4 separate regions of the Mus musculus genome follow, and regions 2, 3 and 4 are each reported to be linked to region 1. Evidence: microRNA targets listed by miRTarBase, many of them from high-throughput screens and not tested one by one. Region 1 holds a microRNA gene; each other region holds the end of a gene's coding sequence.
Evidence for each region. The annotated mature microRNA mmu-miR-532-3p reads CCUCCCACACCCAAGGCUUGCA and lies in region 1 at 2,408-2,429, shown strand. An mRNA with a match to its seed (bases 2 to 7 or 8) in the 3' UTR can be bound and repressed. Matches are read on the target gene's strand: a 7mer-m8 pairs with bases 2 to 8, a 7mer-A1 pairs with bases 2 to 7 and ends in A, and an 8mer does both.

Region 2: miRTarBase lists Tmem38b as a target of mmu-miR-532-3p. Seed matches in the 3' UTR shown: 7mer-A1 at 1,417-1,423.
Region 3: miRTarBase lists Wdr25 as a target of mmu-miR-532-3p. Seed matches in the 3' UTR shown: 7mer-m8 at 1,096-1,102.
Region 4: miRTarBase lists Larp1 as a target of mmu-miR-532-3p. Seed matches in the 3' UTR shown: 7mer-m8 at 1,036-1,042, 7mer-A1 at 2,185-2,191 and 7mer-m8 at 2,782-2,788.

What each region holds. Positions count from the first base shown.
Region 1 is chrX:7,245,700-7,250,847 of GRCm38, reverse strand. Mir532 (microRNA 532) reads left to right here and starts at 2,351; the gene lies at 2,351-2,446. The region is part of intron 2 of Clcn5 (chloride channel, voltage-sensitive 5); the gene reads left to right. It overlaps Mir188 (microRNA 188), which reads left to right and starts at 2,792; the gene lies at 2,792-2,859.
Region 2 is chr4:53,859,319-53,864,466 of GRCm38, forward strand. Tmem38b (transmembrane protein 38B) reads left to right here. Exons shown (of 6, transcript NM_028053.2): 6 at 564-2,700. The coding sequence ends at 782. It also overlaps LOC115490001. Among named protein-coding and RNA genes, the nearest start is that of Tmem38b, 36 kb to the left of the region's middle.
Region 3 is chr12:109,027,138-109,032,285 of GRCm38, forward strand. It overlaps Wdr25 (WD repeat domain 25), which reads left to right. Exons shown (of 7, transcript NM_177602.3): 7 at 109-1,315. The coding sequence ends at 330. It overlaps Begain (brain-enriched guanylate kinase-associated), which reads right to left. Exons shown (of 7, transcript NM_001163175.1): 7 at 5,045-5,148. Among named protein-coding and RNA genes, the nearest start is that of Gm52002, 16 kb to the right of the region's middle.
Region 4 is chr11:58,058,282-58,063,429 of GRCm38, forward strand. Larp1 (La ribonucleoprotein domain family, member 1) reads left to right here. Exons shown (of 19, transcript NM_028451.1): 19 at 278-3,753. The coding sequence ends at 484. Among named protein-coding and RNA genes, the nearest start is that of Gm12248, 32 kb to the right of the region's middle.

The DNA of each region.
Region 1 (5,148 bases):
AATGAAGATTAACTATCATATCTGGTTTAAGCTTTGGACTTTTTCCACTTCTCATCAATCTTGAGCTAATCTGGTCTTGCAGCTGTATTTGTAAGTAAATACCTCCTTCGTAGGTATTTACTTTCATATTTATGTTGCTGAATTCCATATGTTTTCATTCAATTGTATATTAGACATCTGCCCCAGGTGTCTAATAAGCATCTAAAACTTTAATGCATCCAAAGCCGAAATCCTGGTTTTCTTCCCTTGCCTTTCAAACAGACCAGCTCCCCTTCCAGTGTTGTGTAACAACAGCTGCATCCCCTAGGTGCTCAAGCCAAGATTACAGAGCATTTGAGTAGGTTGAGTCTCTGGAAGGATCTTTGAAATTTATTTTTTTAGACTTTAAGTCCAAGGCATTATGAAATGCAGTTGGCTGTACTTTTAAAACAGGTCCAATCTAACACACATTAGAAGTGGCTAATATCCCATTGCCTCTAGTACTTCCACTTTCATTACCTCTTCCCTGGGCTCAAAAGCCTTGTGCTCTACCTTTTGTGTGAGCACACAAATATGATCAGGAGATAAAGCCCACTTTTCCGGCTTTCTTTCTGATGGCTCACATTACACATTCTCAGCTTTCTTTTTTGTTTGTTGATTTTTATTTTGATCACATGATTGTACAATGTAAAGCAGTCAGGTCTCCAACTTGCTATTCACCTGCCTCAGCCTCTCATTGCTGAGATTATGGAGGGTGTACTGCTACACCCAGATTATATCCTATAATCATTCTTTCTAGCTGTTCTTTAAGTATGACCTGGTATTGTTTCATCTGTAGGACAGGGAACATGATCATTACTTCATAGATATTTGTGGGAACAAATTAGTTGTATATGAAAAGTACTTAATGTTGCAGATTGGTTCTAATGTTATTTGTGTTAATTTGGCTCCTGAAATCATATGGGAGCCCACATGTCTGTGCTGAGGGTCTCTGCTCCTAGTTGGCTCTGATTGGGAAATAAAGTTGCCAGTGACCAGTGACTGGGCAGGGAGACAGAAGCCAGACTTGCAGGATTCCCCAGCAAGAAGCACAGCAGAGAAGGAAGAGGGGATTCCACAATGACAAGGGCACAAGTGACAGACTATGCAGGGAAGGTACAGGAGGGAGAGACAGCTGAAATGTAGGTACAAAGGTGTTGTGTCTGGCCAGTAGATCACAACCTGGGTTCTAGCCTGGAAAGGCATTTTGGAAACCTGGAAGAGAAGAGGGGCTGGGCTGCGCGAGATAAGGAAGGAACCAAGACAAAGCTCTCTGCTCACGGTTCAATTTTTACTATTTTGGCACTCAGTTATAAAGGAAGGGGGAAGGGGCCCAATTCCCGCCAAATAATCTTGGGATCCAGTAGCAGGGTGATCACGTGATGGCTTCGGAACAGCAAAGCGGCAGGTTCCAGCAGTAGGCGTGGCAGAAAGATTGAGCGGGAAGCTCCACCCCTGAGCAAGCAAGGTTTCAGGCTGGGGGAGGGGAGACTACACAAAGGGGAAGGTGGCCCCAGAAGGGCTGCCCAAAAGGGTTCAGGACAGCAAAGATAAAATATAGATTTAATAAATTTTAGCTCAGGAATGTGGGAGGGGAGTGTGTTAGCTATGTGGAGGTTCAGGTGAATGCTCTCATCCAGTGGTTGGATGAGAGCATCCACCATAGCAGAAACAACAATATGAACCAACCAGTAGCCCCAGAGCTCCCAGGGACTAAACCACCAACCAAAGAGTACACATGGAGGGACTCATGGATCCAGCTGCATAAGTAGCAGAGGATGGCCTTGTTGGACCTCAATGGGAGGAGAGGCCCTTGATCCTGAGAAGGCTCGATGCACCAGTATAGGGGAATACCAAGGCAGGGGAGTGGGACTGGGTGGGTTGGTGAGCAGGGGGAGGGGGATGGCAAAGGGGGTTTTCAGAGGGAAAACCAGGAAAGGGGATAACATTTGAAATGTAAATAAAGAAAATATCTAATTTAAAAAAAAGAAACATAGAAGAGCTTAACAAATTACCACAACTTAATACTCTACCAAGAGCAAATATAAACTGGCATTGGGAATAAAAAGAAAAGAATATTAAAAACAACTGGAAGAGGGGGCAGTGAGTGGAATATAAAGTGAATAAATAAAATGAATAATTAAGAGTATAAAAACAAATAGTCCATAGGAAGTGAACACTCCTAAAGGCATATATGTGCATGTTCACAAATACACCTTTTCATTGTGCTATGTCTAAGGCAGTCATCATACCTTTCAGGACCAACATACAACACAGACAAAGACACACTGTTGTACATGCATGCTGATTTGTACACAGGAGAGCACGCCTACAGATTTGCTTTTTCTCTTCCATGCCTTGAGTGTAGGACCGTTGACATCTTAATTACCCTCCCACACCCAAGGCTTGCAGGAGAGCAAGCCTTCTCTTCTCTCTCCTGTGCATAGGCATGACTGCATATACATCTACAGCAAAGACATGTCTCCTCTCTCTCATGTGCTCTCTGTGTGGCGCATATATATATATATATATACATATATATATATGTATATATATACACACAGCATTGCCATTCGCTATCTCTTCCAAGTGACTTTCCTGCCTGTAATGCCCCTCTTGGTCCGCATGTGTGTGTTCCTCCTGCCTTACCCACCATCAGTTTCATGTAGCTGGTTTGTTGTTTCTGCGTGATCCCTGGGCTGCTTTCTGTTGCTTTTTCCATAGAAAGTACCTACCTGTTGTGCCAAGAGAGTGAACCCTTCCCTGCTCCCTCTCTCACATCCCTTGCATGGTGGAGGGTGAGCTCTCTGAAAACCCCTCCCACATGCAGGGTTTGCAGGATGGTGAGCTTCAGCTTTCCTTGCTCTCTTGTGCATGGTGGACATATGCATACACAACTTCATAAAGAAAACCCCACATACCCAAGGAAACAGCCATCTGTCCTGTCTTCCACCTGACATGCACATCTCACAGTTTTCTTTCTCCAGGGAGGGCTCATGTGTCCCATGCTGCCTTTGAACTCCCTGCATAGCTAAGGATGATGATGGAGCACTTTTTTTCGAGACAGGGTTTCTCTGTATAGCCCTGGCTGTCCTGGAACTCACTCTGTAGACCAGGCTGGCCTCAAACTCAGAAATTCGCCTGCCTCTGCCTTCTCAGTGCTAGATATAAGACTGGAGTGGCTATGCCTGGCTTGATGTTCCAATTCTGATCTTCATGCCTCTTTGTCCTGAATGCTAGGATTATAGGAATGTACGCCTGGTTTCTGCTGTGCTGGGGATGGAACCCAGGGTTCTGTGAGTTCTAGGCATACTTTTATCAACTGAGTTATATTTCCAGCCTTCTTACCTTCTAATTTTGTATTGTATTTTGTACAGAGTATGGACCCTTACCTTTGGTGACAGTTATTGCTTAGAAAGAAGGGAAGTCTTTTGTCCTGGTCTTGCTTTTCCTGTATATAGGGGAGCAGAGAGAGCCTTCTCAGGACTCTCATTCTCAAGTTAGCTGGAAAGAAAGCCATCTAGCTATTTCTCATAAGCTTATGCTATGAGGAAATTTGCACGTACTTCTTTAGATGCATTTGTTCACATATATACTAGATTTCAGGGAGTGGAAAAACCCGCACTGTGTCCTGCTTTCTCACATATATATTTCTTTGTGCAGGAGAGTGTATGATAGCTTTAAGACATTTATTTGGATAGTTCTTTTTTGTTTGATACTGAAACTCTTTCTCTTGAAAGCTGGAACTTTTTTCCTCATCCTGTTCCAGACCCAGGGTTCACAGCTGATTTGTTTGGTAGGCTATTCAGCAAATGTCGCTTGGTTATCTTTTTTACTTTGAGTATTTTCCTATGCACCCACGTACACAGCACTAATCAGGGCTATTAGGGAGATGAAGGCAGTAAACAAAATGATTAAACACGCAGTGGGTCATTGTTGCCCAGGAGAATGAAAAAGCAAGGGAAACAAGTATGTAATGCGTGGAGTGACAATAGTAGGGAAAGTGGTGGCATTTCAGTTTCCAGTGGAGCCTTTAGGAAAGGCTGCTGTGTACTGAGAGCATCAATGCCATTGAAGCAGCAGCAGAAGTGTGGAAGGCTTCAGTCACAGATGGAGGGAAGAGCACTGATGATTAGTGTGAATCTGCACAAAAGGAAGGATTGTTTTCTTTTTGTAATCCAACAAAAGTCATTGTGCCATTATCATGTTTAGAAATAATTACCGATTCTTTGACATCATATATCCATTGTTCAAATTTCCATTTCTTTTGGAGGTATCATAAACTAGGATCTAAATAAGACCCTTGCATTAATTTCATTGGCCAGTATTTTAAGTGCCTTTGAATTATAAGCCCGTCTTTACCTTTTTCCTCATACTTATTTGTTGGAAGAAAGTAGGTCATATATCTGCGTGGCTTTCCACAGTCTTGTGTTTTTATGAGCACATTCCTCTGATGTAGCTTCCATGCTCCTTTTATTTGCATTTCCTATTAATTGAGAGTTGTATCCAAGAGCCTTATTAGATTCAGGCTTAATTTGTGGGGAGGAAAGAACTGCCTCCATTCAGAGATACAGGTCTTTGTGTGTTACGGTAGTTTGCCATTGATGCTCAAATCCTAGAGCCATTATTTCATTAGCAGTTGTAGAATGGTGGCATTCCACTATTCACCCTCCTGTTAATTGCTGGGTAACTTCTGTAAAGTAAAAACTTCCCCTCATTTACTATTTGATTACCTACTAATAACAGTTTTCCTAAGAAAGAAAAGGTAAATGCTTGACTCTCTTATCAGGGCTAAAAATGAGTTATTGCAAAGATATGCATTCAAAAACTATTTTGATAAACACAGGGATTTAAATGTATTTAGTTTTTCCCTCATTGCAGTTCTTCTCTGCAGTGAAGCCCAAATCTTCCATCTTCTGCCAGTGTGAGCTTCTTCAAATATGGTGTCACATGTCTGTAACTCTGCACTTAAGGTATGAAGACAGGAATATCATTGCAAGTTTGAGGCTACCATAGGCCACTTAGTGAGTACTGTGCCAATATAGACCCTGTCGCTGAAAGTCAAGCTTAGTTGGCCTTCAGTCCTTTGGCTCTAGTAGTTACTTGATAACTTCTCTGCCTTCAAGGATG
Region 2 (5,148 bases), not on the chromosome of region 1:
GTCTGTATTGTGTCTTGCTTTCCATTCAATTTGCTTTTTATTTTGGGGCAAGTTACTTAACCTGTCAGAGCTGTGACTATTCCTCTCTGTGATGAAGGCAACATTAATTGTTGCATTAAGTTCAAAGTAGAGAGGAGTATAAAGTATTTACAATTCTGACCCATGCCAGACATATAGTAATGATAGCTGTATTGGCTGTATGTGTAGATGCTAGATAAGATTATATCTCATCTAAAAAAAAGATTATATCTCATTTCCCTTGACTTCCTTATCTGTCTGTCTGTCTATCATCTGTCTATTTCTCTCTCTCTTGTTATTTTTTCTTTTTAAGTTTTGGTAGTAATGGTTATACTTCATTTGGTGTACCAGTATCAGGTACATTTTTAATGAATAATCTTTAAATTCTTAGCGATCTGAGATTTTTCCCAGAATTTACCATATTTTTTTCTCCTACAGATTAAATGAAAAATACATTTGAATCCCTTTGCCCACTATTTTTCTCTCTCGGTTTTAAGAAACAAAAAGTGTTTGTACTGAAATTCAAAGTTAATTTTTCCCCCTAGGTAACCATGATGATGACAAAGGATACTGCTGTGACTCTCACTCCCTTTGAGGACACCCTGACTCGGATGCTTTTTGGCCGGCGGCAGCAGCAGCAGTTTTCATCGAGTGAAAAGAAAACTGAAGTCAAACCGTCTTCCAATGGTTCTGCCTCAAGTGCATCGAAGCGGGGAGCAGAGCCTTCGGGTGGTGCTAAGAGACACGCCAAGAAAGAAGACTGAGGGTCGCCCTGGGCGTCGGAGGCAGGAGGAGGAGTTACTTCTCTCAGAGTGTGCCCGTGGTTCTGTGAATGATGTGAGAGAGCGCTTATGTGTAAGGGTGGAGGAGACAAAAGAGGAAGTGCTTTGGTTCAGGGACACCGCTCGCTCTGCTGGTCGTAGCTCTTGGGGTCACGAGTGTATCATGTGAATTTATTTTTCTGGTGTAAGAGATTCTCATAATTATTTGGATAGTTTTATATTGATAAAAGAATAATTTTTTAAATGTTACAAAAAGTTCACTTGTTACTGCAAAATTCTAAGAATTTAACAAAAAATTCAGTATTTTTTTTTACCTTTTGAATGACTATAATTGTGTTTTAATTCTGCAGAATTAAACTTTTACTTCATATTTCCAGTATAATTCCTGTATATAGAAGACGATTCCTATTTAATTTTGAACATGGAGAACTTTTCCTAAATACTTTTTAACCTAAAATAAACTAATAGTGTACATTTGGTGTATACAGTTATTTATTTTATATATCTTGCACACATTAAAAATACCTGAAATTGTCTACAGCCATACCACCCTGAACACGCCCGATCTTGTCTGATCTCTGGAGCTAAGCAGGGTCGGGCCTGGTTAGTACTTGGATGGGAGACCGCCTGGGAATACCGGGTGCTGTAGGCTTGAAAAAAAAAACCTGAAATTTATTTTAGTTTCAAGTATTATTTTTCATTATTTTTAATATGAGTCTCAGTTTGAAGTTTATTTCTTGCCCTTGTTTTAAAAACTACTTTTTCCTTAGAAAAGCAGGGTTACAATTTGTGTGTATTGTTTTCTTTTTGCAACAGGAGTCTCACTCTGTAGCCCAGGCTGGCCACAGACCTTCTACCTCAGCTTCCAAAGTGCTGGGATTATGGGTCCGGGCCACCGTGCCAGGCTAGCGGTGTAGTTTTTATTGTTAATAATCCTGTGGTTGGAACCTGGGCTGTTTTGTGTCACCAGCTGGAGAGAGATAGTCTTCACATGTTGTATGTTTCTCCTGACTCAGTTGGTCTGAACAGGCTGGTGGCATGTCTCTGTGACTGAACAAAAAGTACTGTCATGGCTGAAACGGTGTCCTGCACCTCTTCCGGCGATCATTGCTTCACGAGTTTATTTGACTGTCTCTTCTTGCAAGTTTGCATTTGGTATCTCTGCTCAATAGATATGTGCGTGTATTTCTAGTTTTATCTGAAATGAAAGTTGTTTTCCTGTGAAAATGCTCAGCTCTCCTGAGGACTGTCTTCCCACATTTGATGTAAACCACAGAACCTAACCTTATGTGGCAGACTACTTGACTGAGACAATACAACATTAAACCTGCTGTCTCGTGGACAAAGTAAAAAGCAAGCAAGCAAACATACTAAGTGATAGATTCTATTTGCTCGATTTGGTGCATAACTGCCATGTTACAACATTACAGTTCTGTAGGATGACTTTCATCCTAAGGACGTGGGCCTGCCGTCTGTGTTAGGCATTTTTGGTTGGTTAAGAAGCACTTAAGTGATATTCAATATATAAAGTTTTCCTTTTTTGTTTTTTTTTTTTGTGTTTGTTTTGTTTTTCAGAACAGGGTTTTTCTATATAATAGCACTGACGGTTCCTTTTTTAATTTTTAGCAAACTTGCACACTTGCAGATACTTTACTTGATTAAGAAAAAGATTTTGAGTGGCACTTTTGATAACCTACGTACGAGAAAAATGCTTATTTTTGATATTGTGACAAAAAAGCACTAAATTGCATTTTCTATTATATATTTGACAATCTGTAGTTAAAAACTTTGCAAAATTAATATGTTATTGACCAGTTCTGGTTTTAACTGTAGTTAAAATGGTAAGAATCTTGTTTTTCATTTGTATTAAAAACAAATTCATTAAAATAAGTATTTTAGTATGCAAGGGGTATTCTTCTTCTTTTTTTTTTTTTTTTTTTGGTATTGTTTTGAGGAAGAAGTTCAGAGTTCTGTGTTATTTTGATACTCGTGACTCACAGTCTGAAGGGGACATGGCACTTGAGAATGGATTAGGCTTAAGACCTCCTACCCTGGATCTGCGCAGGCAGTCGACTCTCAGAGACCAGCTCTTTATTCCTTCCCTACCGGGAATCCTAGATGTGGTCCATAGGCCAGCTTCACACAGCCCAGTCTCACCTAGGGGAGCTCGGAAGCTGCTGGACCATGGCCCCCTGGGGGCAGTGATGGAGCCCCTAGCAGAATGTGCCTAAATACTTTCAACCCAGGTCACCAGATTCTTCATTCTTCCTTGCTGACAGTTTTCAGTAAGAGAGAGAGAGAGAGAGACCAGGTATGTGTTAGGTGGATTTCACTGGGAACTCGGACCAGTGGCCTTTCCAGACTGAGAGCAGTGAGGGAGTGAAGGGTGCACACCTCACTGGGTGCAATCTGTTTCTTTCAGCACACCGTGACTTTCTAATTAAAACGGACTTAAGGGAAAATATCTACTTCAAGTCACAAGTTGATTGCAATAGAGAAGAATGTTAAAAACTGAACCGTGTTTAAGATGTTTTGGAAGAAGAGGTAGAAAGACTGTAAGGTCCCCTCAGGAGGGGATGGATGACAGGGTACATGTCTTCCTGACCTAACAGGACTGAATTCAGAGACTGTCGGTGTGCACAGGGCCTGGAACTTTGAATGTAGTACAGACTGTTTGGAACTCCAGGCTTCCCCGTCCTGGTTTACGGTGTGCTGGGACTGCTTAGCTAACACAACTTATTCTTACTGTCCATCTTTTACATGAAGTAAAGTTGGTAAGTGCCTGTGCACCTCAGGATTCCTCCCTGTGTCTGTGCAGGTGTGCAGATGGAGGGTAGAGGTCACGGTTGGGGGTGTGCATGTGTGGGCATGGGTGTGCCATGGCGTGTGTATGGAGGACAGAGGACAACTTCCAGGAGTCTATTCTTTTTTTTTTTAAATATTTATTTATTATTATATCTAAGTTCACTGTAGCTGTCTTCAGACACACCAGAAGAGGGCATCCGATCTCTTTACAGATGGTTGTGAGCCACCATGTGGTTGCTGGGATTTGAACTCAGGACCTTCAGAAGAGCAGTCAGTGCTCATAACCTCTGAGCCATCTCTCCAGCACCCCCACCCCCAGGAGTCTATTCTTTTTCACCAGGTGGGTGACCAGGAGTGAACTTGGGTTCAGGCTTGGCAGTAAGTTCCTTTACCCCCTGAGCTGTCTCGATTCCCTAATCCTCTTTTTGAGATGAGGTCTCAGTTAACCTGGAGCTCACCAGGCCGACTACACTAAGCAGCAAGCCCTGCGATCCCTGGACTGGTATCATAGCTCTCTCCATAGGTGATGGGGATCTGAACATGGGTTCTCACTGCAAACACTATACCTACCACTCTACCCTCACCTCAGAAATTGAGTTTAAACAAACACCAATGGCTGTGAACTCCTGACCAGAACGTGAATATTACAAGGACTCCAGGGAATTAATATCCAGTCAATTCCTTCTCCCAAGGGACATAATATAAAAGGAATCTTAGCTCATGTAGCTATCTTAGAAACTTAACGTATTTTTAGACGCTTGTAACTTGTGTTTATCCAAAGCTCATAGTCTACTTAAGTTCCACCATTCAGTCACCCTGCTGATGAACATCAGGCTGTTTCTAACTTGGGGTGTTTCAAATAAACAATTATGAACACTTTTGTGCAGCTTTTGTTAATTATGTTCTTTTTGACAAATGGTAGAAGATATGGTGGATCATGCTTGATTTTATAAAAACAAAGCAACTTGTGTGTTTTCTTCCTCCCAAAGTGATTGTACCATTTAATGCTCCAGGACAGTGTCTTGAATGTTCTAGTTGATCTGTGTCCTTAGCCAGAGTCTCAGTATTGTCAACGTTTTAATTTTGCCCATTTCTAGGGGATGCTTTTTGGGGCCTGAGGCTTTCGTTACTCCGGCTAATGATTCTGAACACTTAGTGTCTGTTGACCATCTGACTGCCTTCCTCTGAATTATCTGCGCCCATGTGGAACCATGTTACCAGATAGACGTGAGAACTGGACAGGTTGAGTGAGCTCAGACCCCGGGAATCTGAGACCGGTAGGAGTGGAGCCGCTTCCTGCCTGTCTGTGCACCTTCTCCGGAACCATGACACCCCACTGCGGACTGGGATAGCTCCACGCCTTCAGCCAATGAGCTTCCCTTACTGGGTATTAATCCCTGGTTCACCCTGAATAAAGTGTGTTGTGTCTGGCCAGCCGACTACATGTTTGGGTTCTAGGCTGGAAAGGCATTTTGGAAACCTGGAAGAGAAGAAGGGCTAGGTGGGCAAGAAAATGATGCAGCTAAAACAGGCATTCTGATCA
Region 3 (5,148 bases), not on the chromosome of region 1:
AAAGATAAAGCCAGCCCTGGGCTTAGCAGCTTCCTAGCCTCAGCTCATCCTTTGCAGCGTGGGGTGAATCATGATCCCTCACAGGTAGCCTGCTGTCTCTCTCCACAGGTGGAAGGCTACGCGGTGGGCTGTGAGTGTTCCCCATGTGGTGACCTGCTGGTGACAGGCAGCGCTGATGGCCGGGTTTTGATGTTCAGTTTCCGCACGGCCAGCCGAGCGTGCACACTACAAGGGCACACGCAGGCCTGCCTTGGCACCACCTACCATCCTGTGCTGCCTTCTGTCCTCGGGACCTGCTCCTGGGGAGGAGACATCAAGATCTGGCACTAACTGGCAACTGAGACCCTGCCCCTGGGTAGGCGGCCGGAGGTTAGGCTGCTCCCGAGAGCTGCTGGGCTTCAGTGACTCGGCTATAGCATGGGGGTGAGAAGCCGTCTCGGCGCAAGCGTGTGTTAGTAAAGGTGTTTGCCGAGTGACTGGTGGGTGACACGCAATCAGTAAGCGTGTGCTCTGTATGGTTTGGTTGGTTGATTGGTCTTTTACTTGTTTGTTTGTTTTGTTTCTGGTTTTTCAAGACAGGGTTTCTCTGTGTAGCCCTGGTGGTCCTGGAACTCAGGCTGGCCTTGAACTCAGGGACCCACCTGCCTCTGCCTCCTGAGTGCTGAGATGAAAGGTGTGTGCCACCACGCCTGGTGTGGTTTTTCTTAATGTGATTTTGGCAATGAACACATATTAGCAGTGTCTTCCTGCCTTCTTACTGCAGATAGGGGAGCTTGAGATGGGACTGTCACCTGCTGGTCCTTCGGACAGTGAGGCTCTGGGGCTTGTGACTGCCCAGGAGCTCAGTGCACCTCAGCGCCCCCCACCACCACCCCACTATAAGACACCAACAACTGTGTTTCTTCCTACCCACCTCTGGTCCTCTAACTTGCTGCCTGCCCACTGCCAGGTGGGTGGTCTGTGGTGGGCAAAGCTATGCATCTGTCCTGAAGGAGTGCGAGGAGAAGCAGGGACTCAGAAGCACATAGAAGGAAGTGTGGCATGTAGGGAGTGGAACTGTTGGAAAGGATGACGAGGATTAGGAGGCGTGGCCTTGTGGGAGGAAGTGTGTCACTGGGGGTGGGCTTTGAGGTTTCAGAAGCTCACACCAGGTCCAGTGGATCTCTCTCCACCTTCAGATGAGGATGTAGAACTCTTAGCTACTGCTCCAGCGCCATGCCCGCACTCTGCCATGCTTCCTCCCACCATGATGATAATCTGAATGATGAACCTCTGAAACTGTAAACCCGCTTCAATTAAATGCTTTTTAAAATAAGACTTGCCGTGGTCATGGTGTTTCTTCACAGCAGTAGAACAGGGACGAAGACAGGAAGCCTAGCTCCCTAGGGGCCTGGAGCAGGCCTATGAGTCTCAAACACTATCAGACTTGTGACTAGGATGCCCGACGGCCCAGGGACTCACTCACAGGTTGGGGTGGGTATCGTGGTACTTAAAAGAGGTAGGGAGGGGAGGGGGGGGGAGGAGGAAGGAGGGGAGGAGGTCTGGGATGTGGCAGAGTGGTGTATGGCTTCACCCCTAACCCATTCTGCGATCTGGTCCCGGGCATGACCTGCCCCTTCCCTCCCTGCCCCAGCTCTTCATCTGTGAGGTCAGGGAAGCAGCCTGCGTGTGTGTTGGGATCTGGAAGAGTGTTGGTCATACTGAGTCTTAGGGCCAGAAGTGGCCCAGGGATGCTGTGTTAGGATATTTATTTTAGTGTCCAAGGCATTGAAGGGTACCACCATCTGGGGAAGCAGGTCAGGGCCTTGGGTTGGGCCTTGCCCCAAGGCTCCTGTGTCCTTGCTGCCACAATAGGCCAGTCCCCTCCTCCCCCGGCTGATGGCTGCCTCCTCTGTGCTCAGGTGCCACGGGGCCAATGTGCTTGTCACCCTGAGGACAAGCTACTGTCTCTTCCCCACGAGCATACAGGGAGATGCTCATTCAGGGAGCCACAGGGGTGTAACTCCTTCTCCCTCAAGCAGCATGTCCCACCCTGTGCTGTCCTGTGTGACACTCGGCAAGATCCCTGGGCAGGACTTTGTGTCCCGCCATGTCCCTGGAACATAACTGTCCAACGAATGACTTCTGCTGGGACCCAGGCTTTAGAACCAGTCAGGCACAGATCTGAAGTCTGCCTGAAGTATTGCATGACTTTGGGCAAGCTTTGTGGTTTACTCAGTGTCTCAGTCCCCCTAACCCCCACAACCCCCCTGGAGAGTAGCACGGGGCCCATGTTCATTGGGTCTTCGGGTTACTTGGATCTGTGTGGCTACCTTGTGATACTGAGCCTGTTCAGGCTGGGTACCTGGCCAGATTCGCTCTAGGCTTTGCTGTGGTGGGCCACGGGCTGGTGGGACCCTCTCCTACTGTTGACTCTTGCTTTCAGGGTCTTAGCACGGGCCAGATTTAATCTCGGTAGAGGCTGCTGGCAGGAGCTGCCTCCTTCCTTCCCACTTGAAAAACCTCATGGTGAGCTTCAGAGTGGCTGCCGTCTGCCTCATACTAGACTAGGACTCCTTGCCCAGGAAGATGGAGAGCTATGATCAGTAGCTCTCACCGTGAACCAGAGGACTGATGTGATCCTCAAAGAACTCAGGGCCCCTCGTAGCATCTTCATGAGTGTCTCCCCGAGTGCAGGCCTGAATGAGTGAGAATACAGAAGCAGGGGGGCCAGCCTTCTCCAGCCTCTCCCGCTGGCTGTCCCTCCCACTCCTGCGGCTGCCATCCAGGGTTTCTACCGTCCCCAGGATATCTTCTACCGCCTGCAGTGATCGGCTCTGCTCACTAGGCTTTCCCAGAAGGGCTAGCAGGTAGCTATCTATAGAGGGGTTCTCTGTCTACCTCTGTACCCAGCCCTCTCCTGCCAGTGTCCCTGGGACAACAGGACCATAGAGCCCTGATTAGACTCTGGGCCTACCTCCTGGTGGTATAGGATTGGCTTCTTACATGAGAAAGCTTTTGCTTTCTCATGTACACAGTGAGCCTGTTGGGACAGTGAGGGTAGGGAAAGAGCTCTTCCGACTGTCTCCTGGATGGTGCTGCCAGGATAGACGGATACCAGGATAGACAGATCTGAATCTCTATGCTGACTCAGGTCCAGGGGAACAGTCATGGCTTTCTAGTGGTCCCATTGTGGTTGCTTCCTGGTGCCATCCCTAGGGTCTGGTTTCTTTCTGCAGGGGTTGGTGCATTGTGCCCCTGTATCTACCCCTAGCTGGCTTCCTGGGCAGGAGGACAGGCATGCGTGTCCCATGTTTCCCTGCTTCTTCAAATGCCTCTTCCAAAGAACATTCAGCAAGACTGACTTTGATCCTAGCCGAGGTGCCGGGGAGTTCACCATTTGCAATTTAAAAATAGGCAAAGCTAAATTTGGCAAGCACGGAGAAAGATGAACCTGGAGTGTGGGTTCTCCCTCCACCCGCCCTCCCCGGCCCAACTCACCCCATCCCACTTTCACATCTGCAATCTGCAGCATCAAAGCAGAGGGATCCTGGGAGCAGAGCTGCCTTGTCTAGAGATGCCTGTACACGTTGGACCCACTCCTGTCTTGCTCTCCGAGTCAGGTTGTGACTTTCATCTGAGTTGTACTAACACACATCCCCCGACCCCCACCCCCACCCCCGCAGGGTGGCCATGGCCCTCCGTGTCTTGCTGAGGAGGCTCCTTCTTAAAGGGCACAGAGGCATGGCAGGACCACCTGTCCCTGAAGCCTGCATCCTTGATTCCTTTCACTGTCTCCCAAATGGCTCTCCATACTCCACCAACCCAGCTGGACTCCATACAGGAGGTTGCCAACCATCTAGAAGGCCCAGGAAAGGGCCAGTGTCCTCTGGATAGAAAGAAAGGGGGAAATTAGCCCTGCCTCTGGTGATAGCCAACCAGTGGGAGTGTGGCCATGCACTTCCTATTGGGGTCTCGGGGGAGGGGCTATGGGTTGTTCCCAATGGTTGAGCATGGACATTGTTGTAGACTAGGCAGGGTCTGAATGGACTCCTGAGAGGGTGGTCTGTGAATGAGGGGTCCCCTACCAGGCTTCACCTGGTAATCTGGGCATATGGGGACTGGCAGGAGCTACTGTCCCCTATGACAACAGGTATGGGCACAGAACATTGGAAACTAGTGGCCCCAGGGCTCTCTTGTCAGAGAGGCACCAGAGAGCACGGACTGTTTTAGAATGTCCTGCTGTCATCTACCTGGGCCTTTGCTGGAGTTCGCTCGTGAACTCCTGTGCATCCTTCAGTAGCTGGTATGAGCTTCTCCTGACCCCATCTCCTCTCTCCTCTAGGACAGTGAGAACTCTCCCTGATTTGGAGTCTATGAGGCCCTTTATCCTTAAAGTTCTGAGCCTAGCATTACATCTGTCTCCCTCTCTCCCAGCTTCTTGGGGGTGGGTGGGGCAGGGCCAGCATGGGGCTGGCTGGATGGCTCTAACACAGGGGACAAAAGGAAATCATGAGACCTCAACCCAGAGATCTGGGGAGAGGGATGCACAGCCTGGGGGTTCTGCGCAACAGCAACCCAGTGCTCTGATGGCTGCTAGCTTTGAAGGCCAAGGCAGAGCTGCGGGGCACGGAGCTTCAAGGCACAGAGCTGCGGGGCATGGAGCTGGGATGAGGTAGTTCTCAACAGGAAAGGGCCATGGGTGTCCACAGGAGGCAAATGGAGAACCCTTCTGCAGGAAGGAGCCACCGTCCTAGGCCTTGTTGAAAACCCCACAGTTCATTTTCAGGGTTTGAATGGCCGTGTGTCAGATAGCCAGGCACACAGAGAAACGGGGTGACATGAGCAGGAAGCAAAGACACAGGCCTGCGTCTGTGTCTGGCTTGCATGAACTGGAAGGCAAGCTGTGTAGACCCCTGCAGGGTGAGTCACAAGTAGAGAGACACAGCAGTGCCATCAGAGGACAGTGTTGGTGGCTCTGCCAACAGGGTCCAGTGAGGGACACCAAGGCCCCTTCTTCAGTACTGGTTAATGATGCCCGGAAAGAAACAATGCAAACCTGGGCTCTTTCCACTGCTGTCCTTTATTAAGGAGTTCGAGATACAGTACTAAGAGACTGGCATGCATCACAGAAGACAGGTTCACAGGGGTGGGAGGAGGGAGGAGCCT
Region 4 (5,148 bases), not on the chromosome of region 1:
TCCACACACCACAGGTCTTTTCCTAAGAGACCCTTTGTAGAAGGGGACAAAAATTTATAGGGTCAAACTCTGGTCTTTAAGGATATGGACCTAAATATAGGAAGCCTTTGACAAATTATGTGTTTGGTCCGTTTCCTTATTTCTGGTACTGTCCACATGAAAGGACAGGATGTAAATCAAACCATTGTCCTCATTTGGAGATGGAACGGAGACCTGATTGGTTCTGGAAAGTGGTGTGGCTAGTGTTCTCTGACCACTTGTGACTCCTCTGTTACAGCCCCCCATGGGCGAGGAAGGCAACCACAAGCGACACCCAGTGGTAGCAGGAGGCAGCGGAGAGGGCAGGAAGCGGTGCCCTTCCCAGTCTTCCAGCAGGCCTGCCACTGGGATCAGCCAACCCCCTACGACACCTACTGGCCAGGCCACTCGAGAAGATGCCAAATGGACAAGCCAGCACTCGGACACACTGACTTTGCGAAAGTGAATGGCCTGAAGCCCCCTGGGGTTTGTGATAGAGGGGTGGGGTGGTTGAGGATCTGTGGGGTGCCCAGAAGAGCGAACAAGAGAAGGGACAGACCTAGAGTACTAAGAATGGGCCTTTGCGCTAAGTAGCAGTGTATACCATTTGGGCTATTAGCGGTGCTCCTGGGCAGGAGCCTCCAAGTACCCCATCCCTCCTGTCACCATGACTTCCATCATAACTTCTAAGGGGGGAGGGGAAGGGGGGAGATTTTATATATATATATATATATATATACATATATATATATCAAGTTTTAAATTATTGATAGTTTGTCTGGATTACCAAAATCACTCTTTAGCCCTTCCTGCGGCTATTATGCCGACCTGTCTCCCCTGCCTCTTCCCGCTTCCCTCAAGCCAACTATGCAGCCCACCAGAAGGCTCTGGCGGTGCCCATGGGCCCCAGAAGCACCAGCCCCTTGATCACCTGGGGTTTGCCATCACCGTGTCCCTGCTGTTCCACATGCCCTTCTGCCACCTCTGGGGGAAGGAAACCAAAGGATCTCAGTGGGGGTGGGAGCTTCAGCCTCTCCCCTCGCCCCCTCGCCCCACCCCAGAGACGCTGCTCACACCAGAAGAGACTATTGAAAGATGATTCATTTTATTTTTTCTCTGACCTTTCCATCCTTGGGAAAACAGAAAAACAAAACAAAAAAACAAAAAAAAAACAAAAACGAAAATAAAAAAGAAAGAAAGAAGAAAGAAAAAAAAAAGACAAAATCGACCACTTTAAAAAAAAAAAAAAGACAAAAAACCAGAGCCCACCTACTCCATAGAAAGTGATGTCTTTCCCCCTCCTTGGAATTTTTCTTCTGTTCTGTTTTTGGAAATAATATTTTTTTAAAAGTTGCCTTATTGTGGAGCGGGAACCTGAACTAATGCCCAAATGCCTGTTTTCCTTGAGCCTCCGGAAGAGCTCCACCTGCCCGGGATGTCCCTGGACTTGGACTGACTAGAACTTTCCTCGAGACTGAGTTGCATGTACGGGGCCTCCTACCTGGAGGCAAGAGTTGGGGCAGTTCTATCAGAGCTGTGCCCAGGACACCCCTGCTGTTGCATTGTCTGAAGCCAATGTCCTGTGTCTGCACACTGTTGCCACTGTCCTTGTTGTGCTTGCTGTCGCCTCTCCAGGCCCACTCAGCTCTGCTCCGCCCCGCCCCGCCCAGCCAAGCCCTGGGAAACCCCAAGGCCAAGTTTGCTTCAGACTGTTGTAAACATAATTGGTCTTGCCTGGTACACACTTGTCCTCAGTGTGCACATCTCCCCAACTCCAGAACAAGGGGTTGAACACCCACTGATGTCCACAGCTTAGGTCTGTGTCTAACCTTAACGACCTTTGACCTCAAGGAGGTGGAGAAAAGGTACCATTCTCTAAGGGTCTGGTGTTGTCTTTCCATCTTATTACCACCACCCCCTGCAAGCCATCTCTGCCCACCCTCTCATTGGCCCTGCCTGGGATCAAGGGGGTGAGAGGAACCAAGGGCTGGGGAATCCTACCGTTTGGTGAAGCCCCATGGCAGGAAGGTATATGTGGACATAGAGTATACCTGACTTCTCTTCAAAAGCCAGACTGCCTGAGCTGCACTTGAGATGCCAGAGGAGTGGCTGGAGGCTGCTGTCACCAGGAGCTGAGGAGGGTAATGAAGGACTGAGCACACAGGCTGGGAGACTTCATGCTAACCCTACACTTGGACCTAGGTGGCACAAGGGGGTGTGGTCTTTTTGCTAGCTTAACTGAAATTTGTGTGACCCTCCTCATCGCCCAGTTCCTCTATTGTCCCAAAAGTTGGGACTGGGACACAGCATCCCAGGCTGACAAGAGCTTGCCTTCTGTCTTTGGGCACCTTGTTACTTTGAGCTCATGCCTTGCCCCACTCTGTCCTCCCGGTGCTTAGGATGTGGGAATCCCTTGTCAGCTCCTGTGACTCACTTGTCGCAAACAAATAAGGGAACAGGATCATCTGCTGCTGGGATCTGAGGCCTTCTCCTAAGTCTGGTACCTGCCCTATGGTGCACCTTCACCAAACAGTGGGCTCCCTGCTTCCCTTTCTCCTCTCCTCTCCTCACTCAGCCCTCTACTGTATATCCAGCACCACAGAACCTCAGGGCTTGAGGCCCAGCATCAGGGAAGGTGGTTTCCATCTAGGCTATCCAGACTAGGGTTGCCATTCTCTCCCAGATCCTCCCAGACCCTCTGAGGGAAGAAGCCCCTCTGGGGTGGGAAGGCAAGGCTATCATCTCAACACAGGCTGAGGAGGGGTGGGAGTGTGTGTGTGTGTGTGTGTGTGTGTGTGTGTGTGTGTATTTTTTGTGACATGTTAAGAGTTGATGTTGCGGAGTAGTTTACATCTTCACCTTCTGAAGACACTTGAATTTAGGACCGATGTATCTGTGACAAGTATGCCAGGAGTGGGGGTGGGGCACCAGAGCAAGCCACTTCCCCATCACCATCTTCCCATGGAATCCAAGACCTAAGACAGACAGCCTGCCAAATGGAACCGCCTTCATCCTCTGCCTGTGCAGGGTTAGACATCCACCTGGCCCCAGCAAGGGGCAGATGGTGGTTTGCAAACCTGTGAGCCTCAGAGCAGATTTGCTACTCGGAGGGAAGGCTGCCTGGCCCTGCTCCAGCCTGGACCGCAGGTTCAGACAGGTGCTGAGCCCCGGGTCAAGTTGTTCAATGTTTTTGTTCTGTAGCTCCTTCCCACTCCTTTTTGATGACATTTACAAAAGAAGGCAAGCTGCTTGGAAGGTCTGGACATGAGGGAAAGGGCATTGAGGACAAGGCTAATGGTGGGGAGTGCTAGAGGCTTGGGTTCCCCTGTCCCCTGGATGGGACCCCAGAGTCTCTTGTCACAGGGCCCCTAGGTTTTCCCCAGCTCCCACCCTCTCCTCCAGCCATGGTTACGGCAGAGGCAGAAGAAAACTTTGAGCCCAGTTCTCACAGGAAAGGAAAACTCTCATGGGCTTTGCAGAGAAGGTTCCACCTACGCTCATATATTGTCTTTACCATGTGCTAGGATATCACATCAACAGGACAAGAAAAATGTAAAATACTTGAATGAGCTTGTATTATAACATTAATATTATTGAGAGTGTCTGCTTCCCAGGCTGAAGTGATTCATTCATTATTCTGGTCCTGCTCTAGTCCTTTGTAATTGGTGGTAATTATTATGCTTTTCTTTTTAATACAAAAAAAATGTATAAAAATAAAAACTTGAAAAGGCAAAACACTGGCTGGTCTCCCATCTGGGACACTACTGTTGGGTGTGACAGAGAAGCCTGGTGTGTATCCCCAGATGGAGGTTCCCACCCCCTACATGAGCATGACTAGAGTACATTCTCTTAAGAGCCTTTGGCTCCTGGGCATCTGCCTGAGACAGTGCCCTTGGTGCTGCGAGTGAGTTTGGGTGCTTGGCCAATCTTGAACAACCTGGACCCTGCATGCTGTAAAGCTTGAGAAAGGGTGGAGTTGGGTTTTCACTCCCCAGGTTTTATATTTATATATGTAAGAATTGCTTATGTAGAGTTTACTTTCCTCCAAGACCATCACTTGGTAGCTTCTTACTGTTGGGTGATAGGAGGTAAGCACCAGTGGCCTCTCTTGTGTGAATTGCCAGATGAACCATACCTATCTCAGTCACATTCGTTAGGAGCAGCTGTGTCAGTTGCTCCCCGGTTGTGGGTGGTCTTAGTTCCCAAGCGTTGGGAATGGGGGCAGCAGCAACACAGATCTACTGGATTTAAGTGGAGGCTTTGTTTGTGAGGAGGCATTAAGGCCTCATTCACCAATGTTAGTGCCTTTAGGGGCAGGCCACGTACCAGGAAAGTACTGCACAGTGCTCATATAAAGAAGGGGAGAGCTACCAACCAGTGATGGTGGTAGTGTTGGGGGTAGGTTGATACTTGAAGGAATCTAAGGGCACAGGTCGTCACCAAGGTCAGGGGACACTGGGACTGACTGCAAGGTGCTCAGTTGCCAGCTATCCCATCAGACCTTGAGGACTTGCTCTGTTGTCCACGTTGGCTCTGAACTGGGCCTAAACCACAGCAGCTGGGACTACAGTGCAAACCACTGCACCAAGCTGTTCTATATAAGCAACAACGGTGTTTTCTTGATTAACCTTGAACTAAAGATCAAAAGTTGTGCTGAAATGTAGTAAATGGTCATGTTGGCAGCTACCAGTGTGGGGCCTGGTAAAGTTTTCCTAGAGAAAGCCTCCTGCTAGATTACTTCTTATTTATCTGCAACAGATGGTCTGCTCTTTGGTTATGTTTTCTGAGGCTCCTTGTTGGGGTAGAAGACTGGTTTGGGTTTAGAGAGTAACTGACCTTGGTCCTCCCTAACATGAACAACCCCTGGGCCTGAGCCCCAGTTTGCACATAGGGTAAGGCACACGATTTGGGGTACATGTCATAATAACAGGCGCCTGTCGTCTGTCAATATTCCTTCTAAAGGGACTTGTGTTTGTGGGTAGCAAAAGTAAGCCAAGCTTCCTTGGTGGGAAGCAGGGACCACATCTAGCCTGTGACTATTCCAGGGACCCTGGCAACAGCCACCCCATTATCCTACCTAGACCACAGGGGAGTGGAGCAGAGGACTAGGCGGTTCACCCTGGCTGTTAG